2 linked regions of the Caenorhabditis elegans genome follow. The protein of the gene in region 2 purifies or fractionates together with the protein of the main gene of each other region. This does not show direct contact. Each region holds a gene or a part of one and is shown on either strand. Other genes may lie near its edges. The genes, in order: F45F2.10 and T10G3.3.

Region 1 (8,556 bases), 5.0 Mb from region 2:
ATGATAGATCAATCAGTTTTCGTTTTGTTTGAAGATACCGGAGGCTTGTCAAAATCTTTCATAGAATTTGATGGGAAGCGGTGTACAACAGTCTTGTCCTTCACATACACCTGCGAACTGGATGAAGCCGAATTAGAAGAAGACACAGATGTTGTTGCTTCGCCTCGAACCGATTTACTCTTTTTCAAGGCTATAGCTGACTCAATATCAGCAACTATCCCACGAACTCGATTATCTCTCATTTCCACTTCATTTCGTCGTGCCGCTTCTTCGATCACCTTCTCGGTTCTCATTCTAGCGACTTTCTCGGCTATCATATCAGTTCTCGGATCCCTTGGTCTCAAGTTAAAAGAATTGGGAGAACTTTCGAAAGCCGGATTAATCGGCTGTGGTTGTTCCCGAACAACAATTTGAACAGCTTGAACCATGAAGAAACAATCTTTGAATCGATTTCCTTCAGTTTCCGGAATCGTGAGATTCACCGTGACATTCACTTGCTTGGACTTTGTCTCTAAATTATCTAAAAAATTGCGTAAATTTTCAGGGAAATGGAAACTTACTTGAAATAATTGGAGGCAAATTGTAAGCATATATGATTCCATTATGTTCAAATGAGAAGAATGGTTCCAGAATTTCTCGGCGATCGACGTTTCCGTCTCCAAAGCTAATTCTGAAATAAATTCAATTATTTTATGAAGGTTCCTCATATGATTAACATACGAAACAGATTCTCCAAGTAGTTTAATCGGTCGGCAGCCTTTTAAATCATCTTTGTATTCAACACGAACACCTCCACTTGCAATACGCTTCTTCTCTTTCGCAGCAATTCTTTCAGCAGTTGCAAGAGCATCAGTAACCATCGGAACTCGAACAATATGTGGGAAATTGGCAGGCATTGTAGTGTCAAATCGATTGTATTGACAAGGTATGAGGAAGAGAACCTGACAAATGTGAATATTTATAGTTTTAAGATAATTCGAAAAGAAAAAGACTTACCACTGGCTCTTCTTCGAATTCACTTCTCTCGATCACCATTTGGAATGATTTCTGAAAGAATTTCGAATAAAATTTATTTGTAGTATTTCAGAGTTATATAGAGTTATAGAGTTATAATAATTTCCAAAACTATTCTTAAAACAAAAAATTTAGACTAAATAGTTTTTTTTTTAATTTTCATACAAACCTTAACAAATGTACGATTTTGTACAACCACCAATCTATCTAGAATGTCTTGTCCGATGCGAACTTGATGAAGACCTGATTTTACAGAATGTACACCCAGCTTGACTCGTCCATCGGCGTCAATAATAATGGCTTCAACCCATGAAACAAACGAGTTGTTCAGAGCCCTCAAACGTTGATTGATAAATTCTCGTGCTTTGTACGAAATGCTTTTTGCTTGATAATCATGATATTCGGAGAGCTCTTTGTTCTGAAAAAATATTATGATTGCTTTTAATATCAATTTTAAATCTAGAAATTTATAGGTAAGTACTTCAAAAGTGTTGATATTTTTGATAAACATTTAAAAAAATACCGCTGCCTGTCGAGGTGTTCTTGGCTGAACATGATTCAGTGACAACGATCCTCCAATATCAGCTCCATGCCACATCAATTGTCGAGCAATCAGACTAGTGTGTCTTCGGATAGCTAATGCAACTGGAGATTTATGAAGATCATTCAGCTCATTTAGTGGAGCTCCGTTACGCAGAAGAACATCGACTTGGCACGGTGAACCTGTCATTGCAGCGAAATGAAGAAGTGTATTTCCACCAGAAAATTTGTGACTCAAATGTATATTCTTGTTGGCGGTCGTATGTATCAAGAAGTGAAGTATTGAGCATTTCCGATGCTTGTCTTCGTAACATGGTTTCTCTCCAGGACATGTTGAGGCAAGATGCATTAAAATTGAGCAGGCACGTTCCTCAGTCACATCGTCTTCAAACTTTTCGAGAAATAAATTAGTGCTCCAGTCAAGAGTTTGGGTCACAACATATGTGATACGAGCTTGACGAGAAAGAGAATCGAATCGTGGAAAACAATCACTGAATACATAGTTTTGTTTCCGACGAACGATGATTCGTTCAATTTCTCCAAATCGAAGAAGAACTTGTCGCAAATCGAGATCTCTCAGTGCAATAATCATATTCTTTTGAAATTCATCATCCGTATTTTCGATCATATTTTCAAGGGCTTTCTTGTGATCCATCATAATGGCAACATAGGTTTCATCTTGAGAAGTTTGATCCATGTCTGCATTGGAAACAAAATCACTCCGCCAATTGATTATTTTTGCTCCAGATTTCACGTAATCTGTGTATTGGTACTTCATAAATGGTTTTGCACCATTAATCGTCAAGGTGTGAGGCTCTGGATCTGGAATTCCCGATGCTGCTATACCGTATCCCATCCGATGAAGTGGTTTCAGTGCAGCTGGAAGGCCGGTGTAATTTCCACTGAAAAACAAAAATTATTTAAGATTATGAACAACTTGATTTCTTACATTGTATTAACGTTCCGTAAATATCTCATTTGAGAATTTTTATGTAGATCAGTGTAATGCATTGGAGGACCAAGTTCATCTTCATGGCGCAAATACGGAATGGCTACCGTATCCTGTCCGAGCATACTTTGAGCAGCTGCATTCGTTCCTCGAACCACCATTTCTCCATCTCGAACATTATCACCGGACCATTCATTGAAGTGATGAACATGAAGATTATTTCGCTCTTTTTCAACAACATATTCTATCGGATTTTTCGTGCGTTCTTTTTGACCTGGATAGATTGGCGCTGGTGCTCCGGAAATCTCGAATTCTTTCCTTTCGAGCTCTTTTCTTTGTTTCTTTGTCAATTGTTTTTGTTTGAAGTTGTTCTTCGCAGTCTTTCCATTTTGTTTTGAACTGCTACACGACGGCTGCAATTTTTTAAAATTAAGCTCTTTCTGACACCTGGTTCAAAAAATTATTTTCAATTCCTACCTGAGCAGGTTCTCTATTCGGATAGCTTCCAGAAGTTGATGGACCATCATCTCTTTCTTGATCCGAGATAGGAACTATGTGAGTGAATTCTGTGATTGGAACACCATGTACATTGTCGACAATTCGCACCGGTCTGTTCTTTGCATTTTCATCCATCAATTTCCGCATTTCTTCTGTTCTATCTCTAATTCTCACGGAGCAATTATTTCCCAAATCGGGGTGGCTGCTGCTGCTCCCTTGTACATTATCACCGCCAGTCATTGTACCTTTCTCGTGTTCTGAAATTTGGTTATGTTTATTCAGAAGAAATGGTAAAATTTGGAAAACGGAAATTTCCGAGGCGTCCATAGTGCGCAGAAAAAGCGAGGAGTTTTTCGTTTCGCTATTGATCAATTTCAAAAATTGGGCGTGATCAACCAATCAGAGCCTGCGAAATGTTAAGTTGAGCAATGTGAAAGCGAGTAAACTGTTCTCCGCACTATGGACGCCGCATGAAATTCTCGTTTTCAGCAAACTATTTGACAATTTTCGCGGTACCTCTTTTCCGAATTTTTTTTTCGAGGACTAATTTTCTTGATCTACTTCTACAAAAACAAGTTTCTTAAAGTTAATTTTTGTAGATCAAAAATAAATATTGCGCTGAAACAGGAGTTTGAATTGTCCGAAATTTTTTAAAAACTATCAATTGCGAAATCCCTCGCATTTCAAATATTTATTTCTGATGTTTTCTCATCGATGAAATCAATCGCTTTTGAGAGTGAACAGCTTCCTCCAAACAATAAATCCTACCAAATCCAATGGATCCGTCGCTATCTCCAGATTGCGATGATTGATCCGATGAGCTTCCTGATGTTTCGGAAGATGAAGAAGACGAGCCTCCACTTGAATCCACAATCGAATTCTTTCTTTTAATGACGATTTCTACTTCTTGTCCACTACTTCCTTCCTTTTTTTGCTTAGATTTTTTATCCTTTGGCATTGAACCCAACTGAAAAGACTGTTGCTTTTGACAGCCTCTGCAACAAATTGAGTGTGTGTGAGCTAAACTGTGATATACGAAATAAATATGGATGTGCGTATATGAGTGATAGAACCAGAAGACACTCACACTTCGCTCACAGACAAACACTCACCGAAGAGAAAAAGAGAATTAAAAATGGAGAGCGTGGAGGGGACGGCACGTTCGAAACGAGACGAGGGGCCCGCTAACAGAAGTGTAGGAAGAAAACAACTCACGGTGGCAGATAGAAATAACGAGAGATGGCGCCAGAGAAGTAGAGTGCAAATTTGCGACAAGATTTGGGGTGTGAGATTATTGAGCAACAATTTTATGATCCAACATTCAGAATAACTCGATTTGTTTTTCCATAAATTCAAAAAAGGCAATTTTTTAATTAATCTGACCCTCGTTCGGGAGGTCTAGAAATAACGACCTAAAAATACAAATTAAACGATTTTAAAGTTTCAGTTCAGTATATCCATTGAAATTTTAAATCATAAATTATTCAGTTTTTGAAATTTACCTTGCCTTTTTTTAATTTTGTGATTTCTATCTTTTTAATAAATATAATAGGACTATCGAAATCCAAACGAGCACAAAAAAAAATTTATAAGCAAAAAAGCATGAAGAAAATCTTATTCGTGTAGATCACAACGGTAGATAAAAAGGAAAAAAAGGACAAATTTTGTGACTTTGTCAAGGGAATGAAAGAAACAGGAACAAATGGAATTTGTAAAATTGGGAAAGCGAAGACAGAGAAAAAACAAAAGCATAAATACAAAGATTTTCAGAACATTTCCGTCGCTCACCGACAAAAAATCGTTCCAGACACGACGACCATTGTGCAGCCGGCTCTGCACAAACGTCGAATTCGACGAGCAATTGCGGACAAAGGAACGACTCTTTGTCGATTTACGAGAGATGAGAAGTTTCTTGAAATGTTATTTTAAAAATTACAGAAATTAAGGAAAAAATTAATGAAAAGAATTGGAAGATTAAATAATCATTGTCTTTCTAGACATCAGTTACTTTTTCGACGATAATAATATCGTTTTTGATTTGTTTTGCGTGGACTCGAGAAGAATCAGTTCGAGAAGGACGTTCTGGAGTAGACTGAAGATTTTTTTGGAAATGGATTGGCGAGATTGGAGAGGATAGTGACATCGGTGGTAATGGGATAGGCAACATCATCGGCATTGGTGGGAGCGAGTGAGGCTCACGGCTGGAAATATAAAATTAGTATTTAGCGATATTGAATTAGTAAATTACATGAATACCTGAAATGTGGTGATGGTGGAAAGAAGAATTGCGGTGGAGGAATAGGAGGACGACGGGCAATTCTCGGAGGAATGAATGTAGAAAGTGTTTTTCTGAAATAACGATTTAATATTCGATAACTACTTAAATTCTTACTCTTTATAATCATAATCTCTCGGAAATGTTTCATGTTTAAAATCAAGTCCTTCATTTTTCCTTTTTTTCTTCATTGAAAAAGTCGAAGATGTGAGCATACTTGCAACAATTCTTATCTTCCTCGTTTCCCTTCGTTCCTTATTTTTTCTTCTATTCAACGTTTGCACTAGCTTCGCACTCTCAGAAGCGTCTGAATATTCCCCTTCCGAGGATGATTGTGATGACATCTCAGTCCAGTGAGCTGCTTCTTCTGACTCAATGTCTCGGTACGGTTCAATTTTCGGAGGTAAATTCGGATATCGATCAGGAATCTTGACACCCATCTCTAAAAGAACCGAACCAGCGAGAGCATAAGTCAAATCAATGTATTGGTGAGGAGCCAATGTTCTGATCATTTCAATGTAGATGTGAGGTGGAGGAAGTGGTTGAAAATCAGCGGGACAAAAACGTTGGGCTCGTCTTTCCAATGAAGACGTGCTCGGAGACTTTGCCTGAAAATGATAATTACGATATCGAATTTCTGAATAACCTTACGGTTTTCGCTTGAGCTGCTCTTTTGACTTCGTCGAACGCATTGAACGATACGGCGTTACTTGCAGCAATCATCATGGAAGGAAGAGGTGGTGGTGGAAATGGAGGAAAAGCTCCCCGTTCACCGCGCTTATATTCTAACTTGAGCATTAGAAGCCTGTGATACCACTCCTTATGAGAATCAATTTCGTTTGGTGTGACGACTGGACGAAATTCACACTTTTCCTCATTTTCACCTTCATTTTCTCCACATTTCTGTATTCCAGACTTCTCATTCTTTTCAATTTCCAATTCTGAGCTTTCTTTCAGAAACTCTGGTGTCTTGAGCTCCAATCGTATTTTTCCCCATTGTAGCCTCTTGCTGAAAGAAATATTTTATCAGAATTAGCTAAAAGGTTTTTTTTTAAATGTCTCTTACAAAAAATTTTCATCGGAAGATTGTGGTGATGATTTTAGCGATGAATACCCTGAAGTATCTTCGGTGTCCCTAAAAAAAAATTATTTGCACTGATTAGTAAATTATCTTACATGTCAGTTATGTTAATATCAGTTGTAGTGTTTTCATGCGGTAGACATCGATTTTGGACTGAATGTTCCTTATTAGGTCATGCGGAGAGATCTGAAAATAAATATATTTACTTTGATTGATTATTAACACATGACTGAAATGTTAATTGGTGGTTTGATCTTCGGAAAGTTTACAATACACAAGTTCGGCTCAAAACAAATATTTGAGTGGTTACAGTTTACAACATTGAAACATGAGGAACTGGAATAATTTTGAAAATTTTGATTAAAAATGACCAAAAAGAAATAAAATAAATATTCCGTGGAAAATTAATCAATGAAAAACCAAAAAAAATCCACTAAATTCGAAAAAATTCGGAAGAAAACACTCTGATGATGACAAGTGAAACAAAATTGTTTTCCAAGCGTCGTCAGAGGTACTGTGTTCCGTGCGAGACCTGCGTTTAAATTTTTCTACTGTGCCTTTACTATTACCGTAATTTTTCAAATTACAAAGTACAAACCATCAAAGAACGTGAATTAAACTCGAAATTATACGAAATTCCGACTGCTATTTGTTGATTGCAAACATAAATAGACAATTCCCACAAATGGACAACACGTTTTTTTTCTGCCCGACAGCAATGTTTGAGCGTTTGATACCCCTCATGTAGTACTGTAGCTCATTTTAGGGTATAAATACACATTTCTGATCGCAGTTAGAAAGTCATAATCGACATGGTTGTTCGCACCACAAGCAAAAATGAATTGGCGAGAAAAGGTAAGTCACAGTTTTTGTGCTGATCAGCTCTCGAGAGGGTACACCGAACTTTCAACATCTTGTATGTTCTTCGTAGTACACTTATCCCATTCATCCTTTGTTCGGGATACATCTCATATCTCGTGTACAATACATTGTAGTTTTTGAAATTTCTGGCTGTAACTTTAACCATTTTTTTTTCAATTTCTTGCGAATATGGACAACAATTATAACTCTGATGTACATGGTATGTAAGAATATTCAAGTAAAAATACTATTTACTCTCTAAATTCAATTTATCATCAATTCTAGAACCTCTCCGAGAAAAAGAATCAATTGTCAGTGTTGCGAGTACATCAACAGCCCCACTTGATCATGTCACAGTTCCAAATGCTCTTCCATCACCAACTGAATCACTGTTGGAACATCCACAGTGGATTCGAAATCCGAAAGCTTTACGTTTTCTAGTTGGATTACTCACAAGTATGTATGTACTTCTTCTAACCATCGTATCTTGTCTCATTTCTATCTCATCTGCCTGGAGCTCGCCAGATCTATGGCTAGCTGAAACGGTAGGGATTCATAAAGGCCGGAGAGGAAGGAAAAGTCATTTTTTCAGATTTTCTCACTATTGATGTATCTTATTGCAATCTTGTTCTTCATGTACACGTATTTGATGATTATTTATCCAAAACCGATTAACATGTTGATCATGATCTTGAATCGAAAAACTTCATTGGTGCCAAGACCAGATGTGAGTTTTTATATTTTGATATCTATGAATGTTTTTCTTAGAAAACTAAACAAAAATCCTTAAGTTTTCTTCGGCATGTCTTACAATGTATTCGACTCTATTTAATGACCAAAACGTCTAATTTATGATTGAGTAGTTGAATAGTAAACACCTGTCTACTTATGTACCTTTAAAGCGGCCTATGCCTGCCTCGTGTCTACACGAGTGACTCTCTATGTTTCCAAAGTTGACTATCATTTCAAGTTTCAATTGAATTTTTAAACAATCTAATTGAAATGGGAAATGAGTAAACCAAATTTTAAGCTGTGAAAGTAGGCGCTAGGTTCTAAAACTTCAAATCCGCTCTCAATAACTCGACTTCCCAATTTTTAGAGATGGCTTCTTTCCGACCCAATACATAATGGAGAAGGAGCTGGCACCCTATACTTACGACTTGGAGCCATTTGTAAGTTACTATATTTTTCAATTCCTGTTTCCACAAAATAAATTTTTTCAGTCTTCGGAACACTTGGAAGTGTTCTTTGGGGATGTGAAATCTTCTTGTGTTTCTCTGGTGAATGTGTTCATCGGTTGGTCGTTGCCAAGCATATTGCGGCGATAATATTCACATT
Region 2 (8,556 bases):
GGACTAAATCGGAATTGTTTTAGAAAACGAACCACAAACAAAAACGTACAACAACAATTTCAAGTTCTGAGCTCCGAGGAAATCTGGTAATATTTTTACTTAAATAAACTGGCCTAAATTGAATCGTCAAGACAAAATACTCATGCCCCGCCCTTTTTGTTCAATCTTTTATGTTATTGTTGAACTAATATTTCTGACCGAATGGGAGCTGGAATAATTTTATTTCTGAATAAAATAAGTATTTACAGAAACAAGAGTTTTTAAAAATACTTCCTGATTATGTGACGAATGTGTTTGAATTTTTCTTGAAAAGAATTAACAGTTTGTATTTTGAATTTTCACTAAACCTACACAGTTAAATGGAGTGTACAGAACCTGCACTTCGTTCTTTCTTAATTCCAACTTTCTGATTTATACTTTTTTAAACCAATGTTTTATCGGCTCAGAACAATATAATGAGTTTAAAACACTTTACAAATTTTAACTGAAAGATTTGAGGTCACCGCCAGAAAACATTTTATTTTTTAAACTTCAGAGTGCATAAAAAATTTTTTACTTCATTACCCAAGAATCCGAATTCAAGGGGCATCTTGTAGTAAAATGCACACAGGTCAACTAGATTGATTTATTCCTCTTCAAAAAATTTTTAATAAAAAATCAACAGAAGCAAGAAACCGGGAAACATTTCCAAAAACTACACGTTTTTGTGCTCATTCTAATTTCAAGAAGTATCAAGCTTTCACAATAAATAAAAATTTGCGGAAATGTTATGAGAAGTTTTGTTTAAAATTAACTCTGCAAACCTTTAGGTAGAGGTTTAAAAAAATAAAATAAAGAAGAAAGTCGTCGTGGGAAAATAAATGTTCTGGTTAAATCAAAACATCTATATCTGCTGACATCACCTGACATTTATTTTAGTAATGATAGGTTAATTTGAACCTAAACTGGTTTCAACCAAAAAGGAAAACATAAGATTTTCTTGTGAGCTTTCATAAGAAACGTTCCAAGAAAAAATAAACTTGTCTACATTTTTGGAATTTTTGATGTCATTTTTCTAATTAGGAAACATGCATTGGAAACTTATATTCAGTTTTGTTCAATGCTCCAATTTTTAGAATCTTCATTTAATACGTACATAACCTTTAAAACACTGAAGTTTCCGCATCAGTGAATTTTAAGAAAAATATAATTTCAAATTTCAAAAAAAAAAACAACTCTTTAAAATCTGAAAGTTGAAAACTCAAAAGACCATTGAGACCTCCGGAATAATGAAACCCAACATTTACACGTTTCTTTAAACTTTCTAGAGGAAAAGATAATTAGGTTTCTGACCAAGCTGCCCTAAAAGAAATTTAATCAGATTTATTTGGAAATAAGGGTATAGCCGGTACTTAAATGTAATATACGGGAAAACGTGGATTCAGGGAAACGAAACGTAGGAAAATGAAATTCAAATTGATAACTAAAAAATTAGGTTTTACACCTTCACGCAAAAAGCTGAACTTTGATTAGCAGACATGTTTCAAGATTAGTTTCCTTTTAAATTTATATAATAAGAACGTAATGTTTCATGATTTAAACTCAGTTTCAGCTGTTAAACAACGGAAATAATACTTTTTTAATTGCGTAATAAGTTTATAGTTAACTTCCAAAAATAGTCACCACCCCACTAAGGCTTCAGAACCAAGGACTGCCAATTTTTTAATAGGAAAGTGGGCAAGTTAAAAGGAATGTGTCTGATTGCAGGTAATCTTCTACTAATAAGTTCATTTATTTCAATATTTTTGACTTAAAAAAAAACAAAGCATCAATTCAAAACGTCTCTTTTCAAAGTTTCTTATTTTAAAATTAAACGTATAATATGTACATGAATAGACCGTGCCAATATCCAATAAAACAACCCCAGAAGTTATTATTTATTAGGTCGGAAAACATTTCGTGCCGCGTGATTTGGGAATTGTGTTTTATGAGTTTTGATAATATTGCAGAACAAATATTCACGACCTAGACTTCCAGAAAAACTATTGAGATGCATTGTAACTATAGAATGTTTCTGATTTATTTTCAGTAGGTTTCAATTTGGAATTGTAAGAAAACTTCCTCAAGGCAAGAAGAAACGTAAAAAAATATTTATTTATGGATGAAAACTAAATGTTTTTCAAAAAAATGGGATCTAGGCACCCGTGGGAAAGATGCAAAATTCAGAAATCAGGAATTGTTTCTAGTTTATTCTAACTTCGTAGTACACTCTATTTTCCTCCTTTTTCCTGTAGCATTTGTAGGTCTGAAAGTATTTTATTATTGTTTAAAGAATAAAACTATTCAAACCTTCTTTCCAATTGTCAGCTCATTATCCACATTAATAATAGTCTTATCGTCCACAATGCAGTTCAAGATTACTGTAGCACCTTCGTCTGTGCATTTTTTCGTGAAAATTCCGTCTGATACCCAGCTGAAAAAATGTTATGGGATTTTTGAAACAAGGAAACAAACTTACATATCTCCAGACTTCCTATTTTCTCCTTCAAAATCGCAGGTTGTCTCTGACGTCTCCATCATTTGTTCGGCAGCTGGAACTTCTTGCACAGGATCTGCAGGTTTTGGAGCAAGAAGATCATCGACATCCATTGCTCCAAAGTTCTTAAACATTGGACCAAGAATTTCGACGGGACTCAACTGAAATCGAATTCTGGTTAGGAAGAGTGTGATTTTTGTGCACAACTTGCACAAAAATCGGGATGAGTCTAATTATATTTATTGATTTTTTTCTTCTCAATAAATGAATATATATATATAACTTTGGCAACTAATATTTTTCCAATTAAAAACCAGGTTGGAGCAGTAAAACAAATCTCAAAAGAAAACTGTTTGAGCTGACTTTGGCTGATTCTAAAACTAGATCTATGCGATTTATATTAAGGTGAAGTATACAGTTTTCTATGTAAGAAAAAAAGCGGTCGAGAAGCTCTTCGAACTAGAAAAAAACTATAATAAACTTCTGTAGGTCAACAAAATTTCATATTGACATTTTCAGGCTCAATGCTTTCCTAGTTTTCAGACTTACCTAGAGGTGGCCTTTGAAGTTATAACATTTTGAATTAAAAAATTTACCATCAATCTTCAAATACTAAAACTTACCGTGGTTGCCCTAGTAACTGTATTTTGTTGTGGAGCAGCATCTCTGTGAAGTGAAACTTTTCCATTCGAATCCATGACGCATCTGAAAATATATTATATTATTTTTGCCGTTATTTTTTGGATCGAAACTTACTCATACTTGATTCCACTCAAAACAAGTGATCCATTAAGTGGTACCGGAATTCCTGAATCCGAAATGCAATCAGATATTTGAACTCCTTTAGCCGTACATTTTGCCATAAAACTCTTCTCGAAAACCCATGTATCTCCAATTGAATGGTCTCCACAACTCTTCTTTCTCTTGATATTTAATGTTCTTCTGATTTCAACAGTTCCATCTTTCTCTTTCAAACATTCGTATTTCTAAAACAAAAAAAATTATAAAAATTAAACTAGTTTTCTGTACGTTTTGTCTTTCAAAAGTCATTTTTGCTATTTCTATCTGTTAATCATCATTTATTGTGTCTCCCACTAGTGAACTGTCATAACTGGTTTGCAGTTATCATTTCAAATTGAACTAAATTAAGGGTTGGGCACCGGTCAAAAATAGTTGAGGTGATTGTAAAAGAAGAAAGGAATGTTAGTGACTTTGATACTGGTCAGTAGTAAAACCAGTACGTGAACCTGATCACAAACCGTATTTCCTTCATGAACTGTCTGACCGGGTAACACGTGGACACCTTCATCAGTTTTGCAACCAATTACTGTAGTCTTCCAACCATTTTTAGTGATATCACATCGAAGTACGAAGGTTGAACGGGCTATCTGAAAAAAAAAATTCGTTGATTTGAAAACAACAGATCACAAAAACGTTTAGTTTGTCCAAAGATTGTTTTTCACCACAAACAAGTTACATTTTCCCAGTGAAACCGGTAAAAAAGAATTTCAGAGTAATTAAGCAGTTACTGCAAGATACTTTTGGAGGTATATAGAAGGTAACAAAAATGATTGACTGCTTGTTAAAAGTATTCACGAAATCTGTTGGTAATTATGTGGCAAAGTACGGAAAACGATAGCTTTTTTGATTCCGTTGAAAACTAAACTGTAACAAAATCGCATACTTTTCTTTAATGCAGAAATAAATGGCAAAAGTTCCGTAAGTGATTTGAAATTTGGTTTCAAAATAGCGTTAATATAAAGAGTGTACAAAATTATTTTAAAATTCGAGTATCGAGGTTGACAAGGTTGTTTAAACATGCTCAAACTGAGCAGGAAAAACCGAGTCTCAGCATTTTCTTAGGTTAACTTTTGAAACATAGGAAAAATTTTACCATTTTGCAGTTTTTGATAACTTTAAGGCACTGGTACATACTTGGACCATCACAATATCTACATTGAAGTCGATAAAAATTGGCTCGAGGCGCTGTTGCCACAAAATTTGTCAAAAATCGTGTTTTAGACATTTAAAACTGAAGAAAAAAATTCTGCCACACAATATTTGAATAGCATCGAACATTTATTTTAAACACTGAATAATACATAAAATATCTCACCCAAGTATCTCCATTCTTATATTTTTCACCCTTGTGAACACATCCATTAACTACAGCTGTTGAGAGAAGAAGAAGTGGTAGTAACATCTGAAAGTTTGGATTTCAGATATTTCTTTATTTCCAGATAGAACCAAAGTTTTAGAAACCTAAAAAAGACTGGTGGAATAAAACATGACTAATGCGACAAGTTAGTTAATGAAACAAAATGAAAGTGAATGAAGAAGTTAAATTAGATTTTGAACAGTATTCGGTAACTAGTGAGAAGATGTGTAACATTTAAATAAAAAAGGTCACCTAACACACAAAATATGTTCCCATTCAACCCCTTCTCCATGGATAAAAAGCGATGAATAAAAGAGATAAAGATCAGAGAATTCAATGATAACAAATTTATTCGAAAAAGTGAGTGATGGAGAAAAAGAAGAGAAATTGACGTCTTCTTTCATTTTTTTTTAACCTAACCTCTGTGTGTATTACTTGTCCTTGATCGTCCGAAACGACAGAAGACGTTGAAATGTGGGCGGAGCTTCGGGAGATGCTGCTGCAGAAGATGTTATGACGTCATCAATAAGGTGAAGTCTATGTAGTTGCAGATATTTTGATTTTATCTCGGAGAAGATGATGACCGATGAGATGAAGAGCGGAAGAGATATGAAGGGAGGATCCCCCTTATTGAAATGTTTTCCTAGAATATGACTTAGATATTCAGCAGAATTGATATTAAATAATGAAAAATAGGCATATTATTTTTGCTAAAAAAGGTGCAATGTCCGGTCTCGGCACGAGCGATTTTTTTTAATCCAAAAAAAATGTTTCTTTAAGGGGTACTGTAGCTCCCAACTCCGTTTCGTTTCTCAAAAATCAATATAGAAAAACAGTTTTAAAAAACCATTTGCATACAACAACGAGAGATTTCGCCAATAGCGGTCGTTTCGAGAGTGGAAAAAATTGCTCTTCACTCATTTTATGAGTGGCCGAGATTTCATATATATATATATATATATATATATATATATATATATATATATCACGGCCATGTAGTAAGAACCTTGCTGTGGGATTAGGACAAAGATCGCAAAATTTCTCATGAAAGTCATCAAATCAAATCAAGGTAATATAACAATTTACATTCTAGGCTTCAAAACAACCTGGCGTGAAAACTGAGTTAAATTGCTGGCCTAGTTTTTTCTAGGCCACGTAAAAACCAGACCCGTGTCACAACGAGCCTAGTGGCTTTTCTTTTTATTAGGCATTCTCTCGAAACTCACCGAAAACGATCATATACGAGTTATCAACAGGCCCTAATTCAGATATTTGAATGCGATTTTTTTTCGTAAAATCAAAGTACATATTCACATTAGGTATATTTCTGTAATCTGACCCAACTCCCGATATCCGCTATGTCAGGACTTCCGATCACTCCCTAAAAGATCTCAAACATCCCGTGCATCTTCTTCTTCTTCTCCTCATTTTCCTGCAGCATGTTTGATTGATTATCTCATCGTTTGCAAAAATAAACACTAGTAGTAATCAATATAAATTCATCAATAGCACATAGAAAGAAAATGACTAAAATGGCAATGTATCACACAATGAACTAGGATCGGGATTGGTAAAACTGAAACTCGTGAGTGTCTTTTTGATTGGGGGCGGTCTCGTGAAATGGCACATAACTCTGTATATACGGGCAGGGATTGGGAGATGGATTCAATATGATTAATAAATATAAGTGTACTTGTATATAAATTAGGGCATTTGATAATTTACAAACATAGATCATAATCAGATCATTGAATTTAAATTTTAAAATTATAAATTAATAAAATCATTTCTGGGAATCAGTGAAGCACGTGTTGCAGGCTCGGACTGGATTCTTGGCACTCGCAATTCGGACTGATTTTGAACTGCATGGATTGCAATAAATCTTTCCACAAACTCGGCAATGATGCTTTCGAACTGTCAGAGAAAACACCTTTCCACATTCGGTACAATTAATTGCTTCTGCATCGTCAAGCCATTTCCGAGAACTGTAACGGTCGGCATCAATCTGTAATTTTTTAGAATTGAACAGGATTCTACTCCTTCATGAATACTGTCAATGGCGAGTTATTTTATTAGGTTTGAAAAAAGGAAGATGATTTTGGCGATTTTCAACTCTTTCTAATCTCCTCGTTTGAATTACCGCACTTTTTCCTCTAATCTCCACCCATAAAAACGGGTCGAACTTTAGCTTTTTTCCATTTTTACGAAAATGATTCTTTTTTGTGTTGTTTTTATATTTTTAATGAAAAAAGAGGTCCTAAATATTCAAAATTATTCTTCAAACATTTTGAAAATCGTATCGAATCCGACAAAATTTAATCGTTCGCGGAACTTTACAAGAAAATGTTTTTTTTTTTAATATTTTCGAAAGGCAAAAATTATATGCTAAAAATTACCTGCAGTGACTGATTGGCTCTTCCAAGTTCATGCATGGCTGAAAGAGCATCATCAAATCTTCTCTTATTCTCTTGTGATCTCTCTTTCTCGTATTCAATGTCACTTTCACTGCCAAGACACCGCTCGATTAGCATATCTTTCTCTGCTTGCCACATTGTTTCAGCTTTTTTCAATTCTAAAAAATTTCAAAATGTTATTTATCACTTGAAATATTTAAACTTGCCATCAAATTCTTCTTTCAATTTCTGCAACTCATCAAGTTTCTCTTGTTCGATATTTCTGACTGCAGCCAAATCAGCTTCAAGAGATTCAACGACTCGTTCTCTTTGAGTCAATCTGCTCTCTAATTCTTCGATTCTTGAATGATTCACCTTTTCAAGGCTATCAATTCTTTCCATGAGCCGTTCAATTTCTTCAGTTTTATCATTTATTTCTTTCGAAAGTGTCTGTTGAACGTCGGCGAACATGGCTTCAAATTGTGTTTTGCTGGATGTCATCTGGAATTTATATTTAATGGTGGACAAGAGTCATTTTGACATTTTGATAGAAAATGAATGAACTGCAATGACCTTATGAACAATTTCTAAATGTTTTTTCAAATGATTTTTCAACTTTGCAAAAACAAAAAAGGTTTTCTTTTGTTTTTGAAAAATTGAAAAAAAATTAAGTTTTAGAATTTTTTTATTTAACATTTATAATTGGATGTTTTAATCGAATTTTTTAATAAAAAAAAACGATTTAAAAAAGCGTGCAAGTTTCTTAAGAATTCGTTTCCTATTTTTTAGTTATGTACAAAAAAAATCTAAACGAACCCTTGCAATCGTAGTTTCCTTCTCTTGAATCTCCTTCTGCAACTTTTCCAATTCTTCTTGTTTCTGGCTCTGTGTTCCAGTGAAAACGACAAGCTTCTCAGTTTCTTCTGCTTTTTCTGCTTCTAATCGTTCGATCGTTCTCTTTCCACTGGCCATTTCTTTCTCAAACTCTTCAATTCTAGAATTGAAAGATTCGATGTGCGAGATTTTTGAAACTAGCTCATCTTCCACGACACGTTGCGTAGTTTTCAGAGACTCAATTTCCTGCAAAATAATAATTTTAAAAAAAATCAATTTCTGAACTATCTTACGTTATCTTTGGTTTCTAATGCTTCTTGAATCGACTGAATTGTGGATTCCCTTTCTTCAATATCTTTTTCAAGTCTTGACTTTTCCGTAATCATTCTCTCCAAATTTTCAGATCCTTTTTCTTCGGCATGCCTACGACTTTCTTCAATGGATTGAATTTTGCTATTGAGATTTTCACATTCTGTTCGAAGAGACTCTGATGTTGCAGTCAATTCATCACGCTCTTGAGTCTAAAAAACATTTGTTTAACTGATTCAAATTGAGGATTATCTTACAGTAGCTGTGACAGCTGATTTCAATTTTTCTATTTCTTGTGTCTTTTCTTCTTCTGAACGAATAAGCCGTTCGACTTCTGTTTTCAATTC

What was found.
Region 1: the proteins of T10G3.3 (region 2) and F45F2.10 fractionate together in Caenorhabditis elegans (co-fractionation; one large-scale study listed by BioGRID). This does not show direct contact.

The regions. Positions count from the first base shown.
Region 1 is NC_003283.11:8,514,352-8,522,907, forward strand, and holds the start of F45F2.10 (ANK_REP_REGION domain-containing protein), read right to left. Parts: upstream 4,414-8,556; 5' UTR 4,217-4,413; intron 3,997-4,216; 5' UTR 3,960-3,996; coding exon 3,770-3,959; intron 3,259-3,769; coding exon 2,981-3,258; intron 2,917-2,980; coding exon 2,504-2,916; intron 2,457-2,503; coding exon 1,538-2,456; intron 1,433-1,537; coding exon 1,184-1,432; intron 1,048-1,183; coding exon 997-1,047; intron 942-996; coding exon 721-941; intron 671-720; coding exon 561-670; intron 521-560; coding exon 9-520; 3' UTR 1-8. Other genes in the region: F45F2.11 (Protein kinase domain-containing protein), read right to left, coding at 4,995-5,202, 5,258-5,350, 5,394-5,884, 5,928-6,285, 6,343-6,411, 6,453-6,454; otpl-7 (Otopetrin-2), read left to right, coding at 7,170-7,212, 7,504-7,763, 7,811-7,945, 8,318-8,390, 8,442-8,556.
Region 2 is NC_003283.11:13,484,909-13,493,464, forward strand, and holds T10G3.3 (Abnormal cell migration protein 18-like fibronectin type I domain-containing protein), read right to left. Parts: upstream 4,719-8,556; coding exon 4,632-4,718; intron 3,904-4,631; coding exon 3,775-3,903; intron 3,502-3,774; coding exon 3,272-3,501; intron 3,221-3,271; coding exon 3,139-3,220; intron 2,677-3,138; coding exon 2,498-2,676; intron 2,453-2,497; coding exon 2,329-2,452; intron 2,285-2,328; coding exon 2,222-2,284; 3' UTR 2,118-2,221; downstream 1-2,117. Other genes in the region: eea-1 (FYVE-type domain-containing protein), read right to left, coding at 6,457-6,678, 7,070-7,245, 7,294-7,567, 7,883-8,146, 8,194-8,421, 8,467-8,556.